Macaca mulatta: one gene and its partners. The protein of the gene in region 4 purifies or fractionates together with the protein of the main gene of each other region. This does not show direct contact. Links are inferred from orthologs where the notes say so. Each region holds a gene or a part of one and is shown on either strand. Other genes may lie near its edges.

The links.
Region 1: the proteins of IFI16 (region 4) and EXOSC10 purify together in Homo sapiens (affinity purification with mass spectrometry; 3 studies listed by BioGRID and IntAct, with this or other methods). This does not show direct contact. The link is inferred for Macaca mulatta from reciprocal best matches to the Homo sapiens genes IFI16 and EXOSC10.
Region 2: the proteins of IFI16 (region 4) and WDR12 purify together in Homo sapiens (affinity purification with mass spectrometry; 3 studies listed by BioGRID and IntAct, with this or other methods). This does not show direct contact. The link is inferred for Macaca mulatta from reciprocal best matches to the Homo sapiens genes IFI16 and WDR12.
Region 3: the proteins of IFI16 (region 4) and TBL3 purify together in Homo sapiens (affinity purification with mass spectrometry; 3 studies listed by BioGRID and IntAct, with this or other methods). This does not show direct contact. The link is inferred for Macaca mulatta from reciprocal best matches to the Homo sapiens genes IFI16 and TBL3.
Region 5: the proteins of IFI16 (region 4) and EXOSC6 purify together in Homo sapiens (affinity purification with mass spectrometry; 3 studies listed by BioGRID and IntAct, with this or other methods). This does not show direct contact. The link is inferred for Macaca mulatta from reciprocal best matches to the Homo sapiens genes IFI16 and EXOSC6.
Region 6: the proteins of IFI16 (region 4) and PUM3 purify together in Homo sapiens (affinity purification with mass spectrometry; 3 studies listed by BioGRID and IntAct, with this or other methods). This does not show direct contact. The link is inferred for Macaca mulatta from reciprocal best matches to the Homo sapiens genes IFI16 and PUM3.
Region 7: the proteins of IFI16 (region 4) and TRIM21 purify together in Homo sapiens (affinity purification with western blotting; 3 studies listed by BioGRID, with this or other methods). This does not show direct contact. The link is inferred for Macaca mulatta from reciprocal best matches to the Homo sapiens genes IFI16 and TRIM21.

The regions. Positions count from the first base shown.
Region 1 is NC_133406.1:229,624,351-229,628,547, forward strand, and holds the start of EXOSC10 (exosome complex component 10), read left to right. Parts: upstream 1-1,397; 5' UTR 1,398-1,417; coding exon 1,418-1,528; intron 1,529-3,057; coding exon 3,058-3,194; exon of another isoform or gene 3,195-3,220; intron 3,221-4,197. UniProt on the Homo sapiens protein: Catalytic component of the RNA exosome complex which has 3'->5' exoribonuclease activity and participates in a multitude of cellular RNA processing and degradation events.
Region 2 is NC_133417.1:108,101,113-108,104,612, forward strand, and holds part of WDR12 (ribosome biogenesis protein WDR12), read right to left. Parts: intron 2,271-3,500; coding exon 2,116-2,270; intron 363-2,115; coding exon 317-362; intron 1-316.
Region 3 is NC_133425.1:3,197,554-3,199,732, forward strand, and holds the end of TBL3 (transducin beta-like protein 3), read left to right. Parts: coding exon 1-24; intron 25-97; coding exon 98-168; intron 169-255; coding exon 256-412; intron 413-483; coding exon 484-542; intron 543-686; coding exon 687-790; intron 791-875; coding exon 876-947; intron 948-1,039; coding exon 1,040-1,198; intron 1,199-1,279; coding exon 1,280-1,413; 3' UTR 1,414-1,679; downstream 1,680-2,179. Other genes in the region: NOXO1 (NADPH oxidase organizer 1), read right to left, coding at 1,778-2,081, 2,155-2,179. UniProt on the Homo sapiens protein: Part of the small subunit (SSU) processome, first precursor of the small eukaryotic ribosomal subunit.
Region 4 is NC_133406.1:107,905,289-107,908,788, reverse strand, and holds part of IFI16 (gamma-interferon-inducible protein 16), read left to right. Parts: intron 1-508; coding exon 509-676; intron 677-2,081; coding exon 2,082-2,504; intron 2,505-3,500.
Region 5 is NC_133425.1:69,619,055-69,623,154, reverse strand, and holds the start of EXOSC6 (exosome complex component MTR3), read right to left. Parts: upstream 2,801-4,100; 5' UTR 2,001-2,800; coding exon 1,182-2,000; 3' UTR 1-1,181. Other genes in the region: AARS1 (alanine--tRNA ligase, cytoplasmic), read right to left, coding at 2,832-3,017, 3,360-3,473, 3,806-3,892, 4,013-4,100. UniProt on the Homo sapiens protein: Non-catalytic component of the RNA exosome complex which has 3'->5' exoribonuclease activity and participates in a multitude of cellular RNA processing and degradation events.
Region 6 is NC_133420.1:96,642,571-96,646,070, reverse strand, and holds part of PUM3 (pumilio homolog 3), read right to left. Parts: intron 1,546-3,500; coding exon 1,403-1,545; intron 762-1,402; coding exon 539-761; intron 1-538. UniProt on the Homo sapiens protein: Inhibits the poly(ADP-ribosyl)ation activity of PARP1 and the degradation of PARP1 by CASP3 following genotoxic stress. Binds to double-stranded RNA or DNA without sequence specificity. Involved in development of the eye and of primordial germ cells.
Region 7 is NC_133419.1:71,426,933-71,430,875, reverse strand, and holds the start of TRIM21 (E3 ubiquitin-protein ligase TRIM21), read right to left. Parts: upstream 2,801-3,943; 5' UTR 2,791-2,800; intron 1-2,790. UniProt on the Homo sapiens protein: E3 ubiquitin-protein ligase whose activity is dependent on E2 enzymes, UBE2D1, UBE2D2, UBE2E1 and UBE2E2.

The DNA of each region.
Region 1 (4,197 bases), about 120 Mb from region 4:
CCAGCACTTTGGGAGGCCGAGGCGGGAGGATCACAAGGTCAGGATTTCGAGACCAGCCTGGCCAACATGGTGAAACCCCATCTCTACTAAAAATACAAAAAAAATTTAGCCTGGCGTTGTGGCACTCACCTGTAATCCCAGCTACTTGAACCCAGGAAGCGGAGGTTGCAGTGAGCCGAGATTGCACCACTGCACTCCAGCCTGTGCAGCAGAGTGAGACTGTCTAGAAAAAAAAAAAAAACAGGCCAGGTGCGGTGGGTCACACCTGTAATCCCAGCACTCTGAGAGGCCGAGGTGGGAGGATCACAAGGTCAGGAGTTCGAGACCAGCCTGGTCAATATAGTGAAACCCCGTTTCTACTAAAAATACAAAAAAAAATTAGCCGAGCGTGATGGCGCATGCCTGTAATCCCAGCTACTCAGGAGGCTGAAGCAAGAGAATTCCTTAAACCCGGGAGGCGGGAGGTTGCAGTGAGCCGAGATTGTGCCACCGCACTCCAGCCTAGGCAACAGAGCGAGACTCCATCTCAAAAAAAAAATAAAAATAAAACTAGGCTGCACGCTGATGGCTCATACCTGTAATCCCAGCACTTTGGAAGACCAACAGAGTGAGACTTTGTTTCAAAAACATAATTTTGTTTGTGATACAGTCTCACTCTGTTGCCCAGGCTGGAATGCAGTGGTTTGATCTCGGCTCACTGTAACCACCGAGTAGCTGGGATTACAGGCCTATGCCACCACGCCCGGCTAATTTTTGTACTGTTAGTAGAGACGGGGTTTCACCATGTTGGCCAGGCTGGTCTCGAACCCCTGACCTCAGGTGATCCACCCGCCTCAACCTCCCAAAGTGCTGGGATTACAGGCGTGAGTCACCGCGCCCAGCCTCAAAAACGTAACTTTAAAAAGAAATTTTTGAGACAGGGTTTCACCCTGTCACCCCAGCTGGAGTGCAGTGGAACCTCCACCTCCTCGGCTTGAGCAACCATCCCACCTCAGCCTCCGGAGCAGCTGGGACTACAGATGCGAGCCACCACGCCCGGTAATCCCGGTTTTTAAATAAACACGAGGGTAAGCGGGGCTCGCGGCCCTCGCCTGGGGTCCCAGCTACTTCGCAGGCTAAGGTGAGAAGATCTCTTGAGTCCAAGAGTTCGAAACCAGGTTCAACAAACATAGCGAGACCTCGTGTCAAAAATATATGTGATAAATCAGGTCCTCCAGGCCGCACCCTAGATCACAGGGTTGTTGGGATAATACAACATGAGGTAAAAGAACGTGAAATTCATGCTACAGCGCTCAGAAGTGCCACCCCAATCGCAGGCGCCCCGCCCGCCGCTTCGACCTGGCGCATGCGTGGTGCGCACACGTCGCGTCGCGTCGACCGAGACGCTCTCGCGAGACAAGCTGTGCTGGCCGAAAAAATGGCGCCGCCCAGTACCCGCGAGCCCAGGGTCCAGTCGGCTACCAGCACGACCAAACCCGACGGGGAGATGGTACTGCCAGGCTTCCCGGACGCCGACAGCTTTGTGAAGGTGAGTTCGCGGGGCCTTGGGGGTACCAGGAGTCGCCCGCGGCCGCCGGAAGCCGACCCGGGCCCTCTGGGCAGCCAATGCCCGCCCGCCGCAGTAGATCCCGAGCGAGGGTCGCGGGGCCCCTGTCCGCGCTGGGCGCAGACTCCTGCATCCTCCGGGGATGGGGCCTCAGAAACGGACACTGAGGGGCGTCCCGCTTGCCAGCTTAAGTCCATGTAGGCCCAAATGTGGAAACCCATCTTGCATCCTGGGAAAGGCTTCCTTGCCACCCAGACGTCCCTAGCCCTTGCGACTTCGCCCCCGCCACGCCCTAGCCACCCGACCAGTTCTCCTCAGGGTCTCGGCTGCTTCGCACTCCGCACACTTGCCTGGAGTTGTCCCCTCCCGCGACCAGGATGGCCCTTCTTCTCTTCCTCTGTTCCTGAAGTCCAATCCTACATAATTTTTAACCCTGAGTTAAATGTCACCTGTTAAAGCCCCATTGCACTTCTGTCAGTAACTCCTGAAAGACACACAGAGCGTTCACTTAAGATCTTTGTATAACTTAGCTTAAATGTGAACAAACGTACAACTAGGCTTAAACTGTGCATAGCTCTTACAAAGCCATGAAACTAAAATAATTTGTAAATTAGCCCTATAAATTTACAGAAATTCCACTCACGTTGTATGTATCTAATTTGCCATTAGCTAATGCTGTTGATTCATTAACATGGCTCTCATTAATTCCTGGACCACTAACTGTGGTCTTGGTTGTGTGGCAGTCATGCTCATAAGCTACCATGTGCCCCTCCATGACTTAATTTCCCACCTCCTTTCTCTGCTTTTTTCTTGGGAAATGTTTATTTGGCCTTCACATGATCAACCATCATTTATGTCACTTCACAGTTTTGTTTCGTTATCTCACAACAGCTAAAATAGAGAACCACTTGACACTAACTGAACAATAAACACAAATCCAGTTTTAGATAGTAGCTGTTACAACTTTGTCGTCCAAGGATCTAGGATAAGGTTGTATTGTTTTTAGATGCTCATCCAGATGAAAACACAAAAACACATTCCTGATCTGAACTTGAGTCATAATAATAACACTTATGTGCCAAGAACTGTCCTAAGTGCTTTTATTAGCTTATTCATTCTGTCCTCACAAAAACTCTGTGGTGTAGGCCCTTTTTATTTTTCCTGTTTTTCAGAGGAGAACACTAAAGTCCAAATTAAAGAAATCACTTGCCCAGGATCTCAGTTAATACATAGCAGAGTCAAGATTCAACCCCAGGTTTTTGTGAATATTAGATTATATATGTATGTGTTTGTTCTGTCTCTCAACTCTCCCAAGAATGTAAGCTCCAAACTTGGTTTCCCGTTCATGCTTGTATTCTTAGGGCCTAGATTAGATTGGGGTTTGGCACTAAATGAGTACTTTTTTGATGGATGAAGAGTAGATACCTTGTATACAGTAGATCATAAAAATGATATATCAAATGAATGGGGATCCATGTGTAAAACATGCCATCTTTTCTTGTTTTGGACAGTTTGCTCTTGGATCCGTGGTGGCAGTCACCAAGGCATCTGGGGGCCTACCACAGTTTGGCGATGAGTATGATTTTTACCGAAGTTTTCCTGGTTTCCAAGCATTTTGTGAAACACAGGGAGACAGGTTGCTTCAGTGGTAAGTACTATATTTTGTTTTCTTATGTTAATGAAAAGAAATGAAAACAAAGAGGTCGATAAATTTTTCCTGAAATTTATTTTTCCTTAAACATTTTCTGTGGTATGAAGAGCCATAAAATATGAAAATTGAAGCAATGGATTTTGATTAGGGAAATATTACTTAGTATATTTTTAGTTTAGCTTTTTAAAAATGTATTGACTTTTGTACTTAAAAAATACATTGACTGTAATCCCAGCACTTTGGGAGGCCGAGACGGGCAGATCACGAGCTCAGGAGATCGAGACCATCCTGGCTAACACGGTGAAACCCCCTCTCTACTAAAAAATACAAAAAACTAGCCGGGCGAGGTGGCGGGTGCCTGTAGTCCCAGCTACTCAGGAGGCTGAGGCAGGAGAATGGCGTAAACCTGGGAGGTGGAGCTTGCAGTGAGCTGAGATCCCGCCACTGCACTCCAGCCTGGGCAACAGAGCGAGACTCTGTCTCAAAAAAACAAAAAACAAAAAAAAATTGACTTTTGTACAGATCTTTTTTTAATTAATGTGGGAATTGAACACTTAGATCCAAGATTCATTCTTTCTTTCTTTCTTTCTTTCTTTTTTTTTTTTTTTTCTTTTTTTTGAGATGGAGTCTCACTCTGTCACCCAGGCTGGAGTGCAAGGGCACGATCTCGGCTCACGGCAAGCTCCACCTCCTGGGTTCACACCATTCTCCTGCCTCAGCCTCCCGAATAGCTGGGACTACAGGCGTCCGCCACCACACCCAGCTAATTTTTTGTTATTTTAGTAGAGATGGGGTTTCACCATGTTAGCCAGGCTGGTCTTGATCTCCTGACCTCATGATCCACCCACCTCAGCCTCCCAAAGTGCTGGGATTACAGGCATGAGCCACCGTGCCTAGCCAGATCCAAGATTATTTCACACAACTTGTAGAGTAGCAGGTATTTCTTTTATTTATTTATTTATTTATTTATTTTTTAATTTTAATTTTTTTTTTTTTTTTG
Region 2 (3,500 bases), on a different chromosome or scaffold from region 4:
AGTGCAGTGGCATGATATCATAGCTCGCTGAAACCTCAAACTCCTAGGCTCAAACAATCCCCTTACCTCAGCCTCCCAAGGAGCTAGGACTACAGGTGCATACCACCACACATGGCTAATTTTAATTTTCCACTTTTAGTAGAGACAGGTTCTCACTACGTGGCCTAGGCTGTTCTTGAACTTGTGGCCTCAGGTGATCCTTCTACCCTGGCTTCCCATAGTGCTGAGATAACAGGCGTGAGCCACCACATGGCCTCTGAACTTAAATTTTTGAAACAACATTAATAAGTCAAAGTAAAATAAATATTTAATTTACCTGTAGACCAGATCTTTAGCATTTTATCCCAGGAGCCACTGCAAAACTAAACAGATGTATATGAAGGGAAAAGACATATGTAATATGATTCATATTATTTGCCTATACCAGTAGGTCTCTTCCTCATTCAGGACCTTTTCAAAGAACTTGTGTTCCAGAGAGTTGAAATTAGCCTTTTCCAAGGGCAAATAGGACAGGACATAAAATCTGGGAAATCTTGAAGGCCAGGCTTATTGCCATGTCTTTTGAAGAAAGCCAATCTGAAGTGAGAGAGAATAAAGTCAACTTGAGGGACAAGAGAGCGAGAGGGTGTGCGGACCACATTCAAGCCTCTATTCCACTGGTTCCTGAGGCCCAAATGCACCATTACCCTTCTTGTGATGTGGTTGTTCAATCTTTCCTGGGATCTCACAGTCCATTTACTTTTAAGGTTAAATAAGTTCAAGCTGAGTTTCTATCTCTCCTTAACCAAAAAGAAGGGGTACAGTTAATTCACTAAAGTTTGGACTAAACAACATATAAACTTTTGGTTCAATATGAAAAATCATAAATCTTCACCTTTGAATACAAGCATCCTGTTATCCTAACTGTCAAAGAAACACTCTTAAGTCCAGAAAACTTCAATGTGGCTTAGGAAACTTTCAAATTGCAAGTGGATTTATAACCCTTCATATTAATAAATCAATATGGTATTGCCCTCAGTTTTGTTACCTTTTAACTATTACCATTTTATCATGATAAAGAGTAGATAGGTACTATAGTAAAACTCTATTAGCACTAACTTTAGTGTATGCTAACGCTCAGATGATCAACGAGCCATTTTCAGTTGATGGCAGCACTTAAGAGTAGCTGATATAGACTGGAAATATGTCAATTACTATGAGGTAAGAAAGTTATATAAATGAATGGCTTGTTTACTTCATTTCTTTTTTCTTTATTTTTTTTTTTGAGACTGAGTTTCATTCTTGTTGCCCAGGATGGAGTGCAATGGCGCAATCTCGGCTCACTGCAACTTCCGCCTCCCAGGTTCAAGTGATTTTTCTACCTCAGCCTCCCGAGTAGCTGGGATTACAGGCATGTGCCACCATGCCCGGCTTATTTTTTATTTTTTTTTAGTAGAGACAGGGTTTCTCCATGTGGGTCAGGCTGGTCTCGAACCATCCTGACCTCAGGTGACCTCAGGTGATCTGTCCACCTCAGCCTCCCAAAGTGCTGGGATTACAGGCGTGAGCCACTGCGCCCGGCCCATACCTCATTTCTTTTTTTTTTTTTTTTTTTTTTGAGACGGAGTCTCGCTATGTCGCCCAGGGTGGAGTGCAGTGGCCGGATCTCAGCTCACTGCAAGCTCCGCCTCCCGGGTTTTTACGCCATTCTCCTGCCTCAGCCTCCCGAGTAGCCGGGACTACAGGCGCCCACCACCTCGCCCGGCTAGTTTTTTGTATTTTTTAGTAGAGACGGGGTTTCACCATGTTAGCCAGGATGGTCTCGAACTCCTGACCTCGTGATCCGCCCGTCTCGGCCTCCCAAAGTGCTGGGATTACAGGCTTGAGCCACCGCGCCCGGCCACCTCATTTCTTAAAATTTCTGAAGTTTATATAAGGTTCTAAACCAGGGATATTCAAACTGAGCAACTGACTATCTCCTACTGTATGAGTATTTACTCTTGCTTTGAAATCCTATCTTTTGTCACCGATTGTTAGGAAACTAGGCCAACACAATGAATATATGTAGAAAAAAATGTTTAGGAACAAGCTCCAATACTAATTTAACACAGTACTAATTACATTCCAGCTACTTACTTTAGTTCCTGAGCCATCAACAGCTACAGAATCTACACTTCCAGCATGACCTCTACAGCAGTGTAGGGCTTTCACTTTGTTTCTCTCTACATTCCACTCCCATAAAAGAATAGTCTGATCCATAGAAGCACTCAATAATAAGCAGGACAAACTATCTGAAGAAAGGAGAACACAAGAATAAGAAACAAATCAGTACACCATTTAGAATACATCATGTTCTGAAACCGAAGAACTAAATTTTTTTGTTATTGAAAAAGATGTTAAAAAGATAACTCATATATGGCCAGGTTTTAAAAGGCTGATATGGTATAAAGAAAAGATTTTTTAAAAATAGAAGATGATGGCTGGGTGTGGTGGCTCACGCCTCTAATACTGGCACTTTGGGAGGCCAAGACAGGCGGATCACTTAAGGTCAGGAGTTTGAGATCAGCCTGGCCAACATGGCAAAACCCTGTCTCTAGTAAAAATACAAAAATTAGGTGGGTGTGGGGGCAGGCGCCTGTAATCCCACCCACTCAGGAGGCTGAGGCAGGAGAACTGCTTGAACCTGGGAGGTGGAAGTTGCAGTGAGTTGAGATTGAGCCACTGCACTCTAGTCTGCGTGACAGAGTGAGACTCTGCCTCAAAAAACAAACAGGCCAGGCGCGGTGGCTCAAGCCTGTCCCAGCACTTTGGGAAGCTGAGGCGGGTGGATCACGAGGTCAGGAGTTTGAGACCAGCCTGGCCAACATGGTGAAACCCCATCTCTACTAAAAATACAAAAATTAGCCGGGCGTGGTGGTAGGCGCCTGTAGTCCCAGCTACTCGGGAGGCTGAGGCAGGAGAACCGCTTGATCCTGGGAGGCGGAGGTTGCAGTGAGCCGAGATCATGCCACTGCATGCTAGCCTGGGTGACAGAGCGAGACTCCATCTCAAAACAAACAAACAAGAAGAAAATAGATGAATGTAATACACTCAATATTAACTTGAGGCCAGGCGCGGTGGCTCAAGCCTGTAATCCCAGCACTTTGGGAGGCCGAGACGGGCGGATCACAAGGTCAGGAGATCGAGACCATCCTGGCTAACACGGCGAAACCCCGTCTCTACTAAAAACACAAAAAATTAGCCGGGCGAGGTGGCGGCGCCTGTGGTCCCAGCTACTCGGGAGGCTGAGGCAGGAGAATGGTGGGAACCCGGGAGGCGGAGCTTGCAGTGAGCTGAGATCTGGCCACTGCACTCCAGCCTGGGCGACAGAGCGAGACTCCGTCTCAAAAAAAAAAAAAAAAAAAAAAAATTAACTTGAAAATGTATATTATCTGATGCAATTTTAATAAATATTCACTTCTAACAATTTATGAATTTTTATATAATCTTTTTCTTCTTGAACACTATATTTTTTGAAAGAC
Region 3 (2,179 bases), on a different chromosome or scaffold from region 4:
CTCCAGGACTTCAGCTGTCTTAAGGTAAGCGGCGATCCAGGCCCTCCCCACCTCTCGCCCTGGTGACATCTCATGCCCTACCCCCTCCTCTTTGCAGACATTCGAGGGGCACGATGCTTCTGTGCTGAAGGTGGCCTTTGTGAGCCGTGGCACACAGCTGCTGTCCAGGTGAGTGGTCTGGGGCAGGGCAGCGATGGGGTGGGGGATGGCGGGGTGACCTGCCTGACGCTGAGCCTCTCCCCACCCCAAACCCAGCGGCTCGGATGGCCTCGTGAAGCTCTGGACCATCAAGAACAACGAGTGTGTGCGGACGCTGGATGCCCACGAGGACAAGGTCTGGGGGCTGCACTGCAGCCGGCTGGATGACCGCGCCCTCACTGGGGCCAGCGACTCCCGAGTCATCCTCTGGAAGGTTGTGGGCCCCAAGGGCAGGGAAGAGTCGGGGTGGAGTGGAGGCCCCATCTGACCCCAGTCTGACCCCAGGATGTGACCGAGGCGGAGCAGGCAGAGGAGCAGGCCAGGCAAGAGGAGCAGGTGGTCAGGTAAGACCAGGGCAGTGGCGCCCCTCCCGGCATCAACACTGCTCTGTGCTGTAGGGAAACTGAGGCTGAGCACCAGGCTTGCTGCCTGCTGACTCCGATGGCTCTGCCAGCGGCCCTCAGTGGCCTCTCTTCCCCTCCCCGCAGGCAGCAAGAGCTGGACAACCTGCTGCATGAGAAGCGGTACCTGCGAGCACTGGGCCTGGCCATCTCCCTGGATCGGCCCCACACCGTGCTGACTGTCATCCAGGGTCAGTGCTCACCCAGGGGCAAGAGGCTGGGTCTACGGACCACTGGGCTCTGCTTTCCCCAGCTCAGCCTTCCCTCCTCCCACAGCCATCCGGAGAGACCCTGAGGCCTGCGAGAAGCTGGAAGCCACCATGCTCCGACTGCGGCGAGACCAGAAAGGTTGGGGGCCGGTCAGGGTGGGTGGCCCGGCGGGCAAGGGCCAGTCATGGCAGATTGACTGGGCAAGAGGATGAGGGTCCTGTTGCCCACAGAGGCCCTGCTGCGCTTCTGTGTCACGTGGAACACCAACTCGCGGCACTGCCACGAAGCCCAGGCCGTGCTGGGTGTGCTCCTGCGGCGCGAGGCCCCCGAGGAGCTGCTGGCCTACGAAGGCGTGCGGGCAGCGCTTGAGGCCCTGCTGCCCTACACTGGTACGTGGGCACAGCCTGGGGTTGGGGGATCCTGGGGGGCGTGTGGACCACCCCCCTGACCTCCTTCTTGTCCAACCCCAGAGCGGCACTTTCAGCGGCTCAGCAGGACACTCCAGGCCGCCGCTTTCTTGGACTTCCTGTGGCACAACATGAAGCTGCCTGTGCTGGCGGCCACCCCCACACCCTGGGAAACCCATAAAGAAGCGCTCCCCTAGCCGGTCCGGTCTCTCTCCAGTCCATCCTGAACCCCTGGAAAACCCATAAATGCCGCTTTCCTAGCCGGCCCTATCTCTCTGGACTCCAGTCCAGCCCCTACCCTGGCCAACACCCTACCTAGCCAGCCAGAAGGGCACTGGAGCTGATGGTCTCCGCCTTACCAAGCCCATCCCGCACCCTGGCATGGCAGAGATCCAGCCCGCGGCTCCGCACGCTTAGACGGTGGGGGTCATTCAGAACAAGCTTTACTCAGAGGAACAGCAAATACCCGCCTCCCGTCCTGCTGGCCAGGGAGATCCGCCCTCCCCGCTCCTCCTCAGCCCTGGGATGGCGCGGTCCATCCCCGCATCGGGATTCTGGCGCTCACCGCTCCGTAGTAGGGTGCGGCACAGGCACAGGGTCCACGCACCCTCGAGACGGGCCCTGGCGCCCTGGGCGCCGCTCCAGGGCCCTGCGTGTGACGGTGCAGCAGCGGCTCTGGATGGCGCCCGCCGAAGGTCGGGTGGGCACGGTGGGGGGAGGGGCGGTGGCCTGGGAGGCTTCCCGGGAGCCCCGGGCCTCACCGGCCGGGTCGTCTCCTCCACGGAATCCCGTCCCGCTCAGGAGTGCGCCCAGCCCTTCCGGTCGCAACAGCACCGCGGGGAGGAGGCCCTCCCGGTCGCCATACCTGCGAGGGGCGGGGTGTGGTTAGGGCCCCGCCGGCCTCGGCTAGCCTCCCCCGCCCACGCCCGCTCGCGTACCTGCACAGCCACCAGCCGCGGTCTG
Region 4 (3,500 bases):
AGGAAGCTCTGCTACGGCTCTTCCACTCAACTTCTCCAGTAGGCAGTTATTTCTTCATGCTTCCCATCAAGTTTCAGATTTACCATATTGTATGATAACTTAACATCTTTTTGATAATCAAAGCAATGAGCCAAACACATGAGTAAACATAATGTAAATATATATAACATAAATGTGATACCTTCATTCTAGTAGAGTGGAGTGTCAACACGACAGTCAGGTAAGTAAATACTTCGTCCATGTGTATAAAAACCTACTTTTTCTAATCCCAAGTCAACACATCCCATAACAGAAATAATTAGAGAAATAATGTGTATAACATTCTCCGCTTTCTTCGTTTAATGAAACCATCTATGCCCACCTCTTACAACTGACCAGAGATGGGCAGCAAGCTCTCAAGTTTCTAAGAAACATCTTAGGAATAATAAAACTACTATCCAATAACGAAAATGTGCTTTACTTCAATTGGCACTGAAAACGAATAACAGAAAAATCAAACCACTTGCAGAAAAGAAAAAAACCAACCAAAGAGAAGGCTGGAACGAAAGGGAGTAAGATGTCCGAGGAGCAGACTCAGCCTCCTTGTCCTGCAGGAGCCGGCTTGTCCGCAGCCGTGGGCCATTCCCCACCTCCCAAGACCTCATCATCAGCTCCACCCAACACTTCCTCAGCTGAGGTACACTCTTCCTGGTCCCGTTTCGCTTTGTTTTTTTCAACCCAAAGTAAAGGACTGATTTCATCTGTTACTTAAAAATTGCGTTCATAATTTGCTAGTTAATCAAATGTACGTATTGAGAAAACACTACATTTTGATCTTTTGCTTCCACAGGGATACTTGATGAACTTGACATTATCTCTGACTGCGGGAAGTTTTCTGTTCTGTGTTGTTTGGGGAAGGGAGAGAGAGCTGTGGAGTACAGAACTGTCAGCTGTGGGCTCGCTGTCTACTGTATTCCATGTCAGACCTCTCCAGCACCTGTTAGTTTGTGAATGAGGTTATCCATACCTTCAGCACTTTTTCTTATAAACAACCCCCCTGCATTAAAAGTGTTCTATTGCAATTCAAGGAGACTGAGATGTTAAAGAGAAAATACGTTAAAGAAAACCCACTCTGAGCCCCAGGTTTCTGTTAGCATGCTACCTGCTAGAGCCCTGACACTGAGAAAGGCAATGGTAGTGGGAATGACACTCCGCAGAGCGTCTCCAGTCTGAGCCTACTGAGATGACGGCATTCTGAGGGGTTGATCGCACATGTGTTCTCACCCCCTGTAAGCCAGCTGAATCTTGGGTAGAAACACTACGAGATGTGCTCTTAAAATTGCCCTGTCTGCACTGTTGATAACTGAACACTCTTCACGTCTGTAGTTTGTGGTGGGCACCATTTTTCATTTTAAGTGTCATTTAACTTTGTCTATTTTTAGGCTCTGGCACTTTAAGCTGGTAAGAGAAATAGTATAAGAAATTATTTCATTCTAAAATGTATTATTTATCTATTTACTGTTGTTGTTGTTGAGACAGAGTCTCGCTCTGTCACCCAGGCTGAAGTGCTGTGGCACGATCTCGGCTCCCTGCAGCCTCCACCTCCCGGGTTGCTGGGATTACAAGCGCCTGCCACACCTGGCTAATTTTTGTACTTTTAGTAGAGCCACGGTTTCACCATTTTGGCCAGGCTGGTCTCGAACTCCTGAACTCAGGTGATCCACCCGCCTCGGCCTTCCAAAGTGCTGGGATTATAGGTATGAGCCACCGCGCCTGGCCCTAAAATTTATTTTAAGTTACTTCATGACACTGGCTTTCAGTATCCACTGGTCTTATGTTGCTCTTATGCTTTATTTCTTAAGGATGATTCTGTTTAGAGAAAGGTCATCTTTTCACTATATGGTCTCCTCTATTACTTCCTCTTGCTATTATACCAGTTTAAGGTATCTTCTGCCCTGGCTAGCAATCCCTGTCTATCCTGACTCCAGCTCTAAACATCCGTGCAAGTTTTGGGGCCCTATGTTATACTGAGGTCACTGAATAGCAGTTCTGTATTTCTCAATCAGACATTTTTCTTTGTTCTCCTGTGCTATCATACACAGAACCCGAAAACAGTGGCCAAATGTCCGGTAACTCCCAGAAAAAATATTCTCCAAAAGGGCCCAGTGATAGTGAAGGTACTGAGTACAACGAAGCCATTTGAATACGAGACCCCAGAAATGGAGAAAAAAACAATGTTTCATGCTACAGTGGCTACACAGACACAGTTCTTCCATGTGAAGGTTTTAAACACCAACTTGAAGGAGAAATTCAATGGAAAGAAAATCATCGTCATATCAGATTATTTGGAATATGATAGTCTCCTAGAGGTCAACGAAGAATCTTCTGTATCTGAAGCTGGTCCTAACCAAATGTTTGAGGTTCCAAATAAAATCATCAACAGAGCAAAGGAAACTCTGAAGACTGATATTCTTCACAAACAAGCTTCAGGAAATATTATATATGGGATATTTATGCTACATAAGGTAAGTCCTCAAAATTTTTTTGTTTCATTTTTCCACCAACACCTAAAATTAAAAGCCTTGATGTGTGAGATGAAGCTTTGCCTATAAACTGGATATTGGAATCCAGGACTCTGAAGACTAATGGCAGGTGGATAAAAACTTCTCTGAAGATAAGACTGGGATTAGGGGACCTGTTAATGTTTCTTTCCCATGTTCTCCATCCCAGAACATTAAACTTAGGTCTTTACGGTAATGTTCACTGAGAAACCTTAAGACTTTATCAGTTGTTATTATCTATGCTAAGTGATCAAGGACAGTGTGAGGTCTACATCCATACACATGTAACACTAAGTTTATCCCTTTGGTTGTTATTCTACTGTTGTAAAAATCACATTGTTTTTATTTTGAATGAAGTATTGTCCTCTGAGGCTTGAGTTCTGGTTGTGACAGTCAGAATAAGAAATCAACTGACTACTCATGGCTGGAAAACAAATGCAGAAAGTAGGTAGGACAATGTTCTGACCAAATGAAATGAATCAATTGGGAAATATGAATTTGGATGATACTTGGAAAATCAGGTAATCTAAATTTGTCATTTATATATAAGTAACCAAAAAAATAGAGCACAGAGTGCTTTTCCTGATATGTTCCAGTCCAAATTCATGAAACTAGTTAGCATGAGACATTCAACCCCCCAAAAAAAGCATCTATCCTCTGCTATTGATTCAAGCAATTTCTTGTCTGATCAATATTCACTATCCATTATATTTGTTTCCTAGAACAAGCCATGTAACCTGCATTACTTTCTGTACATACTCTTTTTGTTCATTTTTTGAGACGGAGTCTCGCTCTGTCGCCCAGGTTGTAGTGCAGTGGCGCGATCTCGGCTCACTGCACCTTCGCCTCCTGGATTCAAGCTATTCTCCTGCCTCAGCCTCCTGAGTAGCTGGGACTATAGGTGTCTGCCACTACGCCTGGCTAATTTTTTGTATTTTTAGTAGAGACGAGGTTTCACCA
Region 5 (4,100 bases), on a different chromosome or scaffold from region 4:
TGCCCTCTGCGGTGCTGCTCAGGGTCTTCCTTGTAGGACCAGGGTGCCACTTCTCATCAGCCGTGGAGGCTCGGGTTGTGCCATTCTGCACATGGCCAAGGACAGATGGCTTCTACCCAGAGCAAAACCCTTTTCAGCTACCCAGCACCAAGCCAGGTTGGGGCACGAGGTGCACTCAGCGCACTTCTGGGGCCGTACTTTTTTTCCTGAGACGGAGTCTTGCTCTTGTTGCCCAGGCTGGAGTGCAATGGTGCGATCTCCACTCACCGCAACCTCCACCTCCCGGGTTCAAGCGATTCTCCTGCCTCAGCCTCCCGAGTAGCTAAGATTACAGGCATATGCCACCATTATTAGTGCTGGCTAATTTTGTATTTTTAGTAGAGACGGGGTTTCTCCATGTTGGTCAGGCTGATCTCGAACTTCCGACCTCAGGTGATCTCCCTGCCTTGGCCTCCCAAAGTGCTGGGATTACAGGTGTGAGCCGCCGCGCCCGGCCAACTCTCCCTACTCTCGTCGTATCTCAGCAGTTCCCCTAACTCTGGTTCGTGTGGGTGCAGCTGCTCTCCAAATCACAGCGCTCCCATCAGGCTCTGGAGCTCTTTTCAGCCCGTCTCTCCTGTTCACGTGGGCCTAAGGAACAGAACCCGTTTAAGGCAATGCCGCCGCGACCCTTGACACCTGGGATGCAAGAACAAAAGAGCCTTGCTCTCTTAAATCCCGGACCAAGAAGAACCACACCATAAGACGTTTTTCAAATATAAAAGGGTCTTTCTTTTGGCTCAGACACAGAAGGCACAGTCGTCTTGTCCATCCTCTGAAAAGTCGCCCAGTTATATCGGAGGGGGTCACTGGCTGGCCTGAATGACAGCAGCTCTAGGTACCAGCTTCCAGGTAAGTCCAGCTAAAGTTTCCAACTTGGGAGTCAGGATGCGCTCACAGGTTTCCTCAACTGGGTCGAAGCTAAGAGCCGGCTCAAGTAAAGTTCCTTTAACGAGGTTTGTAAAAACCCTTTCCAACACCACAGCTGTCCGGCGCCTTGGCTCTGCTAGGGCCTACCCAGGTGCTCTCCAGGGCTCCGGCTGCTTATCTCGACGCAGGCTGGAGGCCGACGGCGCGGGTCTTTTCGGGGACGGCGGCAGCACGGTCCTCGGCTTGCGTCCGTCGTTGCTCAGGCTTCTAGTTCAGGGCTGGGCGGCGGCGCCCCTGCGGCGCGCCGCCCGCACCAGGCTCTGCTGCAGCACGGGGTAGAGGCGCTGGCAGCCCTCGAGGCCCAGGCGTACGGCCTCCGCCCAGCTCTCGATCAGGCCGCCCTCGCCGCTGCCCAGCAGCCCGGCCACCTGATTCAGCACAGGCATGAGCGCCACGGTGAGGCCGGCGGCGGCGCGCTCTTCCTCTAGCCGCGTGGGGTCCAGCAGCCAAGTGGGCGCGGGCCCCGGCGCGAGGCTCAGGCCACAGCCCACCACCAGATCGTACATCTCAACGCCCGCGTCGGCCAGGGCGAGCGCGGCGGCGGTGAGCGCGGCGGCCAGGGCCGAGCCGCCGTCCTCCAGCAGCAACGCCGACACCTCGAGTTGCGCGCGCGGGTAGCGGCCCAGGCGCACGGCCGGCTCCAGTGCCTCCTGCAGCGCCAGCGCCAGCTCACGCTCCTCGCCGCCGCCCGGGGGAGCGCGGCGCCGGCGGCCCGCGAAGGGCGCGCGGCGGAAGTCGCACAGCAGGCGACCGCGCAGCGCGGCCGGGGCTTCGCCGCCAGATCCGGCCGGGCCGCCGCCGCGCTCGCCTCCCTCGGCCTGTCGCGGGCCCGACACTGCACACAGCACCTTTGTGCCTCCCGCCTCCAGGTAGGCCGAGCCTTTGGCCTGGCTCAGCAGCCCGGCGCGCGCATACACGGGCCGCAGTCGCGTTGGGTCGCGGGCGGCGGGCGCCTCCTCCTCGTCGGCCGCGTACAGCTGCGGCGGCTGCGACTCTTCAGGGCCGCGGATGCGGCGGTGGTCCCCGGGCATGGCGGCTCCTGGCGTGAGAGCCGCTTCCGCCCAACGCACTGCCGCACCCACTGGTTCTTCCGTTGCTTAAAGACGCGCGCCTGCGTGAGGGTTGTCGGGAGAGTGACGGGCGGCGCTACAGCGCCTGCTGGAGGCTCGGAGGGAGAACGGCCGGCGTCCCTGGCGCCCTGGTCCCACTTGTGCAGGGCTGCCTGATCCATCCCTCCTGCTGGAAGGGAGCGGGAGAGCAGCTCCAAGGCTTCTCTGCTTCCACTAACCCCACCCATCTACTGAATTATGAACGCCTTGCTCCATGTCACCCTATTTGGCCTCAACCTCCACAAACGTTTGAGGCAACCCCAGGGGCTTTTCCCAAAATTTAGGGTTCTGGGGCTGGACTAGGTGAACACTACAGCAGCCAGTATAAGCCACAGCATTTATTCTACAGACAGCAGGGGCCAAGGGCTGTCAAAACAGCGAGCTCCACCTGGGAAGAGGGATAGAGATCATATAGCATTAAGTATTGCACGTGGTCCTTTTATTCTCTGCAGCAAAAAACGATTCGTCCTTGCTGACGCGGAAAGCTCAGGCTGGAAAGCTGTTATCTACAGATGCGAGTGTGGTGATCAACAGCAATGCGGGGGTAGTGGTTCTCGACAGATGGCACTGACGTGGAGGGCTCAGGGCAGAAGTATAAGGGGCGCTGAGTCACAGGACTGCTCGTGAGGGTATTCCAGGTACAGCCGGGGTAGGAGGGGCTCTCAAAAGGTCCCAGGATTCAAATGTTCTTGTAGCAGATCAAGAGCTCCCGGCTGGACGGATGGAGCCAGTAGAAGCCACCTCCTCCCCCGCTCAGTTCTTTACATCCCCGAGGCGCAGCTGGGCGAAGGAAGTGGCCAGCTGCAGCGCCTCCTGCAGGCAGCCAATGTTTTTGCCTGTGGCCTGTGCAGACACATCCTTGCCCCCACCTTTACCGTCCATCAGGCCTGACACCTGCTGTACCCACTCGCTGGCTTTTAAGCCCCGATTGGCTGCATTCTAGAAGAAAGAAAGGGAAGGGGGAAGTCAGGACAGAAAATGGGATTGAGGGAGGAGCCATCACCCACTCCTTTGCCCTGGGTGATACTGCTGGAGGCAGAGACAGACTTTACGGCTAGTGCAGGGGGCAGTCATGGCCCCTGCCAGGACAGGACAGAGTGGCAAAGCCAAGTATCAACCAGACAGATGCAACCAGTGAGGAGGCCTGGGTAAGAGGTACTGGCAAAGGTGACCAACAGGCAGGCAGGAGACAGGCTCTTTTAAATGCAGGTTGTACACACACAGGCCTCAGCAAACAAGCTTAAGACCCAACACTTCCCACTGGTGCAAGGTGGTTCTGACCTGAGGGACTTGACACAGGCAAGTGATCTTGCCAGCCTCGTTGTCCACTGTGAAGAGCATGGCAGACGTCTGAGGGGAGTGTGTCTTGAAGAGCTTCAAGGCTTCATTCAGGGCCTGTGGGGAGGACCTGGCTCAGACCATGGTGCTGGAGCAGGGACCCTCACTAGTGTGAGCAGTTGCAGCCCTCAGAAGGACCGCCACCCACCCCCACCCCTTCCCAGAGCAGATGTAGTCCTCAGGGCCTGGGTGGAGGACCCCAGTGTAGGGCCCTGCCCACACCCTGGCCCAGGTGTGCCTCCCACATGCAGGGAGCTGCTGCTCCTCCCAACCTTAATCCCAGACAGTGGGCCCTTAGGCAACCACTTGGCTCAGAGCCACAGAGGTCACATATCAGCCACCAAAGGGCTGATGTGCCCCAGGGGAGGGGGCCCCGGCCCCTGGGTTGCCTTGGCTGAGGCACCGCTCTCCATCTCCAGGATGACGAGGGGCTGGTTGGGGTTGCTGTCGATAAGCTGCTTTGTCTTCTCTAACACCTGCAAGAAAAAAGTCCAGAAGAGCAGCTCAGACCAAAAGCACAAGCCGCAAACCCCTGGCTGTATCCTGCCGGCCTTTGCCTAGGAAACACTCTGGCCACCGGTGCTGCCCGGACTCACTCGTTTCTGGACATCGGCTTTGCTGGCTCGGTCTAGGTCATCCATGACCTTCTTTAGGGATTTGAGAGTCTCCCGCAATTCGTCCTTC
Region 6 (3,500 bases), on a different chromosome or scaffold from region 4:
TAAGTACACCTGACTACCTAAGGGGATTATCTGATGAGCAGCTCAAGAAAGCATCTCTTCAGCTCAACCTTACTCCTTTTCAAGAGCAATAGCGATCGTTCCCAGTTACTTGGGTTTCTCCTTAGCAAGTATGGGAGGCAACCAGCTCAGTCTCCTTATAGCGAAACTTTCAAGCTGCATTCATCTTTCCCCTTTGTTAATATGGTCAGGAGGAGCCAGGGCTTCTCTAAGATCTCTTCTCTTCCCCAATCTTCTCTTCCCCAATCTCAGGTGTCAGAAGCACCTTGGGCATTCAACACTTGGCAATGATTTCATTCATAACCAAATACACGTCTGCAAAACATTCCCAAGTGCCAGGCTTTGACCCAGATGGTTAGAGAAAATTAAAGATGAATGTAATTGCTGCTGTGGGAGGTTCTTTGTTGTTATTCAACAGGCATCTCCCTCCCCAGTTTTCTTACTGACACCCCGCATCCTCCAAAAATGAAGTTTTTGTGGCCTTTGCAGCTTTCCTGCCTGGCCTTTAACGGCATATTACCTCTCCGTCCTTGCCACCAGGATGCAGTTCTGTTGCTGCCAAGCTGGCGATGGCATTCATGGCAGGCTGAGCGTCTCCGGTGGCAGATCCCAGAATGTCAGACACCAACACACACGCAGACTTATCTAGCACCACTTCTCGGGCGTGTTCTTGCAGGTAGCTTAACAAAGCTGGAGAAATGGATTCTAGGAGCTCCCGTCTGCGGACCTCTGTATCTTTCTTACTGTTGAATATGTTGAATGGGGTATTAGGGTAAGATAAATCGCAAAGGAAATGTGATCTTATTATCACAAAAACCTCTAAGAGCTTATCACAGACTGTATCACACTCTATTATTATTGTCTATCTTTCTGTTAAGCACGTAGACAGTGAGTGATTTGAGTATGTGTTCTATCTGTTTTTAAAAATATTTCTGTCCCGCGATCTGAATAATGCCTGCCACAGAACAAGCGCTCAATAAAGGGAGTCTGGCTTGTGTAATACCAAAAAAAAAAAATCCAAAAACCAAACAACATACCCACAAAACAACACATTTACACTGCCGTATGGACACCATACTCTAGGTAGTCAAATACGTGGTATCGGTAGCTTTGAAAAGAAAGCAAAACAAAAATCAAACCACACACCTGAATGCCTACTACGTGCCAAGGGCTCAGAGGTATTCTTTTGGCATGACACTTTTGTTTCCTTTTCAAGATAAAAGCTTTAAGAATCTGTCAAAAATACAGGCGTGACAATGGAATTCACCTTTTCAGCAATTTTAGAGAGAGGCGTAAGTGGATTTCTGGACGCATGCACTATTCAACATTAGCAGACAACCAGAGCAGAGGAATAAAGAAGTCAAGCCATTCTACTTGTTTTTACCTGTGTGCATTTCCATCTCCTTTTTGCAGAACTTCAATGATTTCTCGTACTGTATGTGCAGGATCTCTGGGGCTTAGTAAGTACAACAGGACCTTCCTTCCATATTTGTCATTTACTATGCTAGGCAACGAACTGATAATTTCCTATAACATTATAAACAAAAAGAAGAATCAATATCTGCATTCTTAAAAAAGTACCACAGGACCTTCCTTCCATATTTGTCATTTACTGTGCTAAACAAGGAACTGATAATTTCCTATAAAATTATAGTGTATGTGCCGCCGAAGTGAGCACAATGTCCTATAAAATTATAAACAACAACAACAAAAAGAATTGATATCTACAGTCTTAAAGTATGCCTGGAATTTCAATGGTGAAGGACATACTTAACTATTTTTCCCAGCGTACTTCATGGAAAATGTGGAGCTAGTTCTGAAATTGTCTCATTAAAGCACACAGAGATTTACACTTAGAACACAGAATCAATTCTCTTTTGTGACTAGCATTACTGAACAACTCATTTATATTAACTGACCAAGCCCAAGGACTTAAAAAATATTTAAAGGTGTTATCTTCATTCATTATGGCCAGTATTTCTTGGGCCACTATTACGAGGGACATCACTTGCTGAGGTCACTGAGTAGAGACAGTTAATTTGCAGCTGCATTTAAATGTAGCATCGGCATGAATGAAGAACATTTCTATTAGAATTTCCCTGCTGGGATGTATGTGAAAGGAGATAAAGAAACTCTGTTAAATCGAACAAGTGGATAAAGGCTTTTAAAGTTAGGTTGCTTATTCATGGCAAATGAAGGCTGTTTAGCTACCACAATGAAAAACAAAAACAGAGGAGGAGGGGAAACCAAATCCAGAAAGCCTCAACTAAGCAGTTACAAATTTACACTGTATGACATTTCCAATCAACATACCCAAGAACAGTAACCTCCTTTTCTAGTTGTTCGAATTTAAGGGACAAAAGCAATGTCATCCCCACCCTAACTAAACTCCTGTGTAAATCTGATGTTTTCAAAGACAGAGAAGTCACTTGAAAATTTTTAAAAATTCCTTTATTCTTAATAGAGAAGATGCAACAGAAGAGTCATCAATTTGTTTCCCCACCTCTGACACTCCTATTTCTTGTAACAAACTTTACAAGTATTCAATGCATGTTTGAGCACCCCATATTCTTTAGAACTGGCTGGGCCTCGGAAAGAGTTCTGTCCAACTGGCCAGGTTTACAGATGAGGCATCCAGAAAGAGGAGAGGACCTGCCAGAGGACTCACAGTGGCAGTGTCCTGGTTCTCCAACTCCAAATCCAGTCTCTTTCAAACATAAAACCTCCTCTTAAGGAAAGGGATTCTCTCTGAGAGGACACATTCAGATCTGCTCTTCTTAAAAGGGCCTATTTATTATGATGAGATTAGCAATTTCAGTGTAAGGAACCGAGCTCAAAATCAAGTCAGCCATCAACCATGGGACCATGAATCTCGCTGTGTCATGATCCTACAGCTGATGATGCTGCTCCAGGTTCCAAACACCATGTTTCTCTTTTTAAAATCCCAACCTTCCCTCATTTTTTGCACAAAAGTATAGCATGCTTCTGATAACAGTAGCTAACCCTCATTAAGTGCTTACTAGGAGTCAAGCACTACTGAGAGCTGCGCACTGATCATCTAACATAATCTTCTGACCACTACGTCCTGTTTCTAGCAGTCTGATCCTCATTATGCTCTCCTAATTACTTCTGAAGTCTAAGATCACAGTATAAAGATTTCCATGTAAAACATAAAAGTTTTCAGAGAACTGAAAATTCAATAGGTCTAACCACCTCAAAATGAATATATAATTTCAAGCACCCAGGGAAAATGAACATAAAATTTCAGTAATAAATGGGAAAACACACACACACAAAATACACAGAACTTGTTACAAGGTAGGGAACTCTTTCAAGGCAAACAAGCTCCAATGTGAATTTAATCTATGTTTTTTTTTTTTGAGACGGAATCTCACTGTTGTCCAGGCTGGAGTGCAGTGGCGCGATCTTGGCTCACTGCCACCTCTGCCTCCTGGGTTCAAGCAATTCTCCTGCCCCAGCCT
Region 7 (3,943 bases), on a different chromosome or scaffold from region 4:
GTTGTGGGAGGTAATTAAATCATGGGGGTGGGTAGGTTTTTCCCATGCTGTTCTTGTGATAGTGAATGTCTCATGAGATTTGATGGTTTTATAAAGGGCAGTTCTCCTGCACATTCTCTCTTGCCTGCTGCCATGTACAATGTGCCTTTGCTCCTTCTTTGCCTTCCATCATGATTGTGAGACTTCTACAACCATATGGAACTGTGAGTCCATTAAACCTTTTTTTTTTCCTTATAAGTTACCCAGTCTTAGGTATGTCTTTATTAGCAGTGTGAGAACAGACTAACACAGGAACAAAGTTTTAGTTTTAGTTTTTTCTTATTTATGTGAACAGGATTAAGATATAATTGGCATAAAAAATGGGTTGTAAAGATAGTATTTGAAGCCTCATGGTACTTTCAAACCAAAATCCTACAATAGATACACAAAAAACAATAAATTAGTCATATTACCAGAGGAAAAAAAATTCCTGGCCAGGCATGGTAGCTCATGGCTGTAATCCTAGCACTGTGAGAGGCCAAGGTGGGTGGATCACCTGAGGTCAGGAATTCGAGACCAGCCTGGCCAACATGGTGAAACCCTATGTCTAGTAAAAATACAAAAGTAGCCAGGCGTGGTGGCAGGCACCTGTAATCCCAGCTACTTGGGAGGCTGAGGTGGGAGAACTGCTTGAACCTGTAAAGCAGAGTTTGCAGTGAGCCAAGATCATGCCACTGCACTCCAGCCTGGACAACAGAGCAAGACTCCACCTCAAAAAAAAAAAATTACCTTCACTAAAGTGAGACAGGAAGGAAAGGAGGAAGAGAAGACTGTACAACAAGAAAACAGCAAGATGGAGTTACGTCCTTACTTATCAGTAGCATTAAACATAAATGGACTAAACTCTCTAGTCAAAAGAGTGGCTGAATGGATGATAAAAACAAGACCTAGTGATCTGTCGCCTAGAAGAAACACTTCATCTATAAAGACAGACTGAAAATACAGAGATGAAGAGAAATATTCCATGCCAATAGATACCAAAAAAGAATGAGAATAGTTACATCAGACAAAGTAGATTAAGATGAAAACTAAGAGGCAAAGGTTGCTATGTAATGATAAGGAGGTCAAGTTGTGCAAGAGGTTACAACAATTTTAAATATATATGCACCCAACACTGAAGGACTCAGATACATAGAGCAAATATTAGAGCTAAAGAAGGTAGGCCCCAATACAATAATAGCTGGAGACTTCACCCCACTTTCAGCATTGGACAAATCTTCCAGACAGAAAAAGAAATACTGGACTCGATCTGCACTATAGACCAAATGGACCTAATAGAGAACATTTAGAGAACATTTTGTGCAGTTACTACAAAATACACATTCTTTTCCTCAGCACATGGATTATTCCAGGATAGACCGTATGTTAGGTTACAAAACAGGTGCTAACACATTCAAAAAGTTGAAATAATGTTGTGATAGTTAACAAATGTCAACTTGATTGTATTGAAGGATGCAAAGTATTGTTCCTGGGTGTGTCTGTGAGGGTGTTGCTGAAGGAGATTAACATTTGAGTCAGTGGACTTGGAAAGGCAGAACCACTCTCAATGTGAGTGGGCACCATCTAATCAACTGCCAGTGTGGCTAGAATAAAGCAGACTTGCTGAGTCTTCCAGATATTATCTTTCTCCTGTGCTTCTTCCTGCCCTCAAACATCAGACTCCAAGTTCTTCAGCTTTTGGACTCTTAGACTTACACCAGTGATTTACTAGGGACCTTCAGCCACAGACTGAAGACTGTACTGTCAGTTTCCCTCCTTTTAAGGTTTGGGGACTTGGACTGGTTTCCTTGATCCTCAGCTTGCAGACAGTCTATTGTGGGACTTCACCTTGTGATCATGTGAGTTAATACTCCTTAATAGACTCCCTTTCATATAGACACCTATCCTACTAGTTCTGTCTCTCTAGAGAACCCTGACCAGTACAAATGTCAAGCATCTTCTCTGACAGCAGTGAACTAAAACTATAAGTTAATAATAAGAATTTTGGAAACTATACAACTACATGGAAATTAAACAATACACTCCTGAATGACCAGTGGTCAACGAAAAAATTAAATTGAAAAGTTTCTTGAAACAAATAGAAACAACATACCAAAATTCACAGGATATAGTGAAAGCAGCAAGAGGGAAGTTTATAGATGTAACTGCATACATCAAAAAAGATGAAAAACTTTTAAAAAAAATCTAATGATGTATCCGATTAATAGCCAGAATAAAGAGCTCAAACTCTATATGAAATAAAACCTAGTAATCTGAACCAAAAAAGGGCAAAATATTTGAATAGACATTTCTCAAAAGATGACATACAAATGGCAAACAGGCATGAAAAGGCATTAAACATTACTGATCAGAGCAATGAAAATCAAAACTATAAATCTCATCCCAGTTAAAATGTCTTATATAAAAAAGACAGGCACTAACAAATGCTGGCGAGGATGTCAAGAAAAGAGAACCCTCATTCACTGTTGATGGAAATGTAAATTAGTACAGCCATTCTGGAGAACAGTTTGGAGGTTCTTCAAAAAACTAAAAATAGAGCTACCATATGGTCCAGCAATCCACTGCTGGGTATATAGTTGATGTAATTTTGCTGTGTCTCCACCCAAATCTCATCTTGATTTGTAATCCCCACATGTTGGGGAAGAATCTAGTGGGAGGCAGTTGGATCATGAGGGCAGTTTCCCTCATGCTGTTCTCATGATAATGAGGGAGTTCTCATGAAATCTGATGATTTAAAAGCATTTGGCAATTCCCCCTGCTTGCTGTTCTTCTGCTGCTTTGTGAAGAAGGTGCCTGCTTCCCCCTTGCCTTCTGCCATAAGTTTCCTGAGACCTCCCCAGCCACGCAGAACTTTAAATCGATTAAACTTCTTTCCTTTATAAATTACTCAGTCTCAGGTATTCTTTATGGTAGTGTGAAAATGGACTAATACAATATCTAAAAGAAATGATATCAGTATATTGAAGAAATTTTTTTATTCGCATTTTTCTTGAAGCACTGTTCACAATAGCAAAGATTTAGAAGCAACCTAAGTGTCCATCAACAGATGAATAAAATAAATGTGGCACATATAAATGAATAGTGGTCCATTGTGTATAAGAATGAGATCCTGTCATTTGCAACAACATAGATGGAAATGAAAATGTTAAGTGAAGTAGCACAGGCACAGAAAAACAAATATTGTATGTTCTTAATTATCTGTGGCATTGGGAAGGTTACAGGAGGGGTAAGGTGGGGATGGTGAATGGGTAAAAAAATAGAATGAATAAAATCTATTATTTAATAGCACAACAGGGTGACGAGTTAACAATAATGTTACAGCACATTTCAAAGTAACTAAGTAATTGAATTGTTTAACACAAAGGATAAATGCTTGAGGGATTGGATACCCCACTCTCCATGATGTGAGTGTTATGTATTGCATATCTGTATCAAAACATCTTATTTACCTCATTAAAATGTACCTACTATGTACACACAAAAATTAAAAATTAAAAGAATTAACCTGGAATAGCTATATCAACTACAGTCAAAGCAAACTCCAGAGAAAGCAATATTATTATGCATAAAAGGGAATGTATGATAATGATGTCAAGTCTATGAAAAGACGAATTTTTAGTGTGTATGTACCCACAATAGATCAAGATATGTGAGGCAAAAAACTGAACTGAAAGAAATAGGTAAATCCATTATTAAAGGTTGAGATTAATGCCTTTCTCCATCAGTAATGCATCCAGCAGATAAGGGTATGGGGAAAAAATAGAAAAGCCAGTTAACACTGAACATATTTTAACCAACAGTATTCAATCGAAATGCACACAATATATTTAAACAGTAGAATATACATTCTTTAAGTAAACCAAGTAGAATATTCACCAAGTAGACCACACTTTGGGCCGTAAAT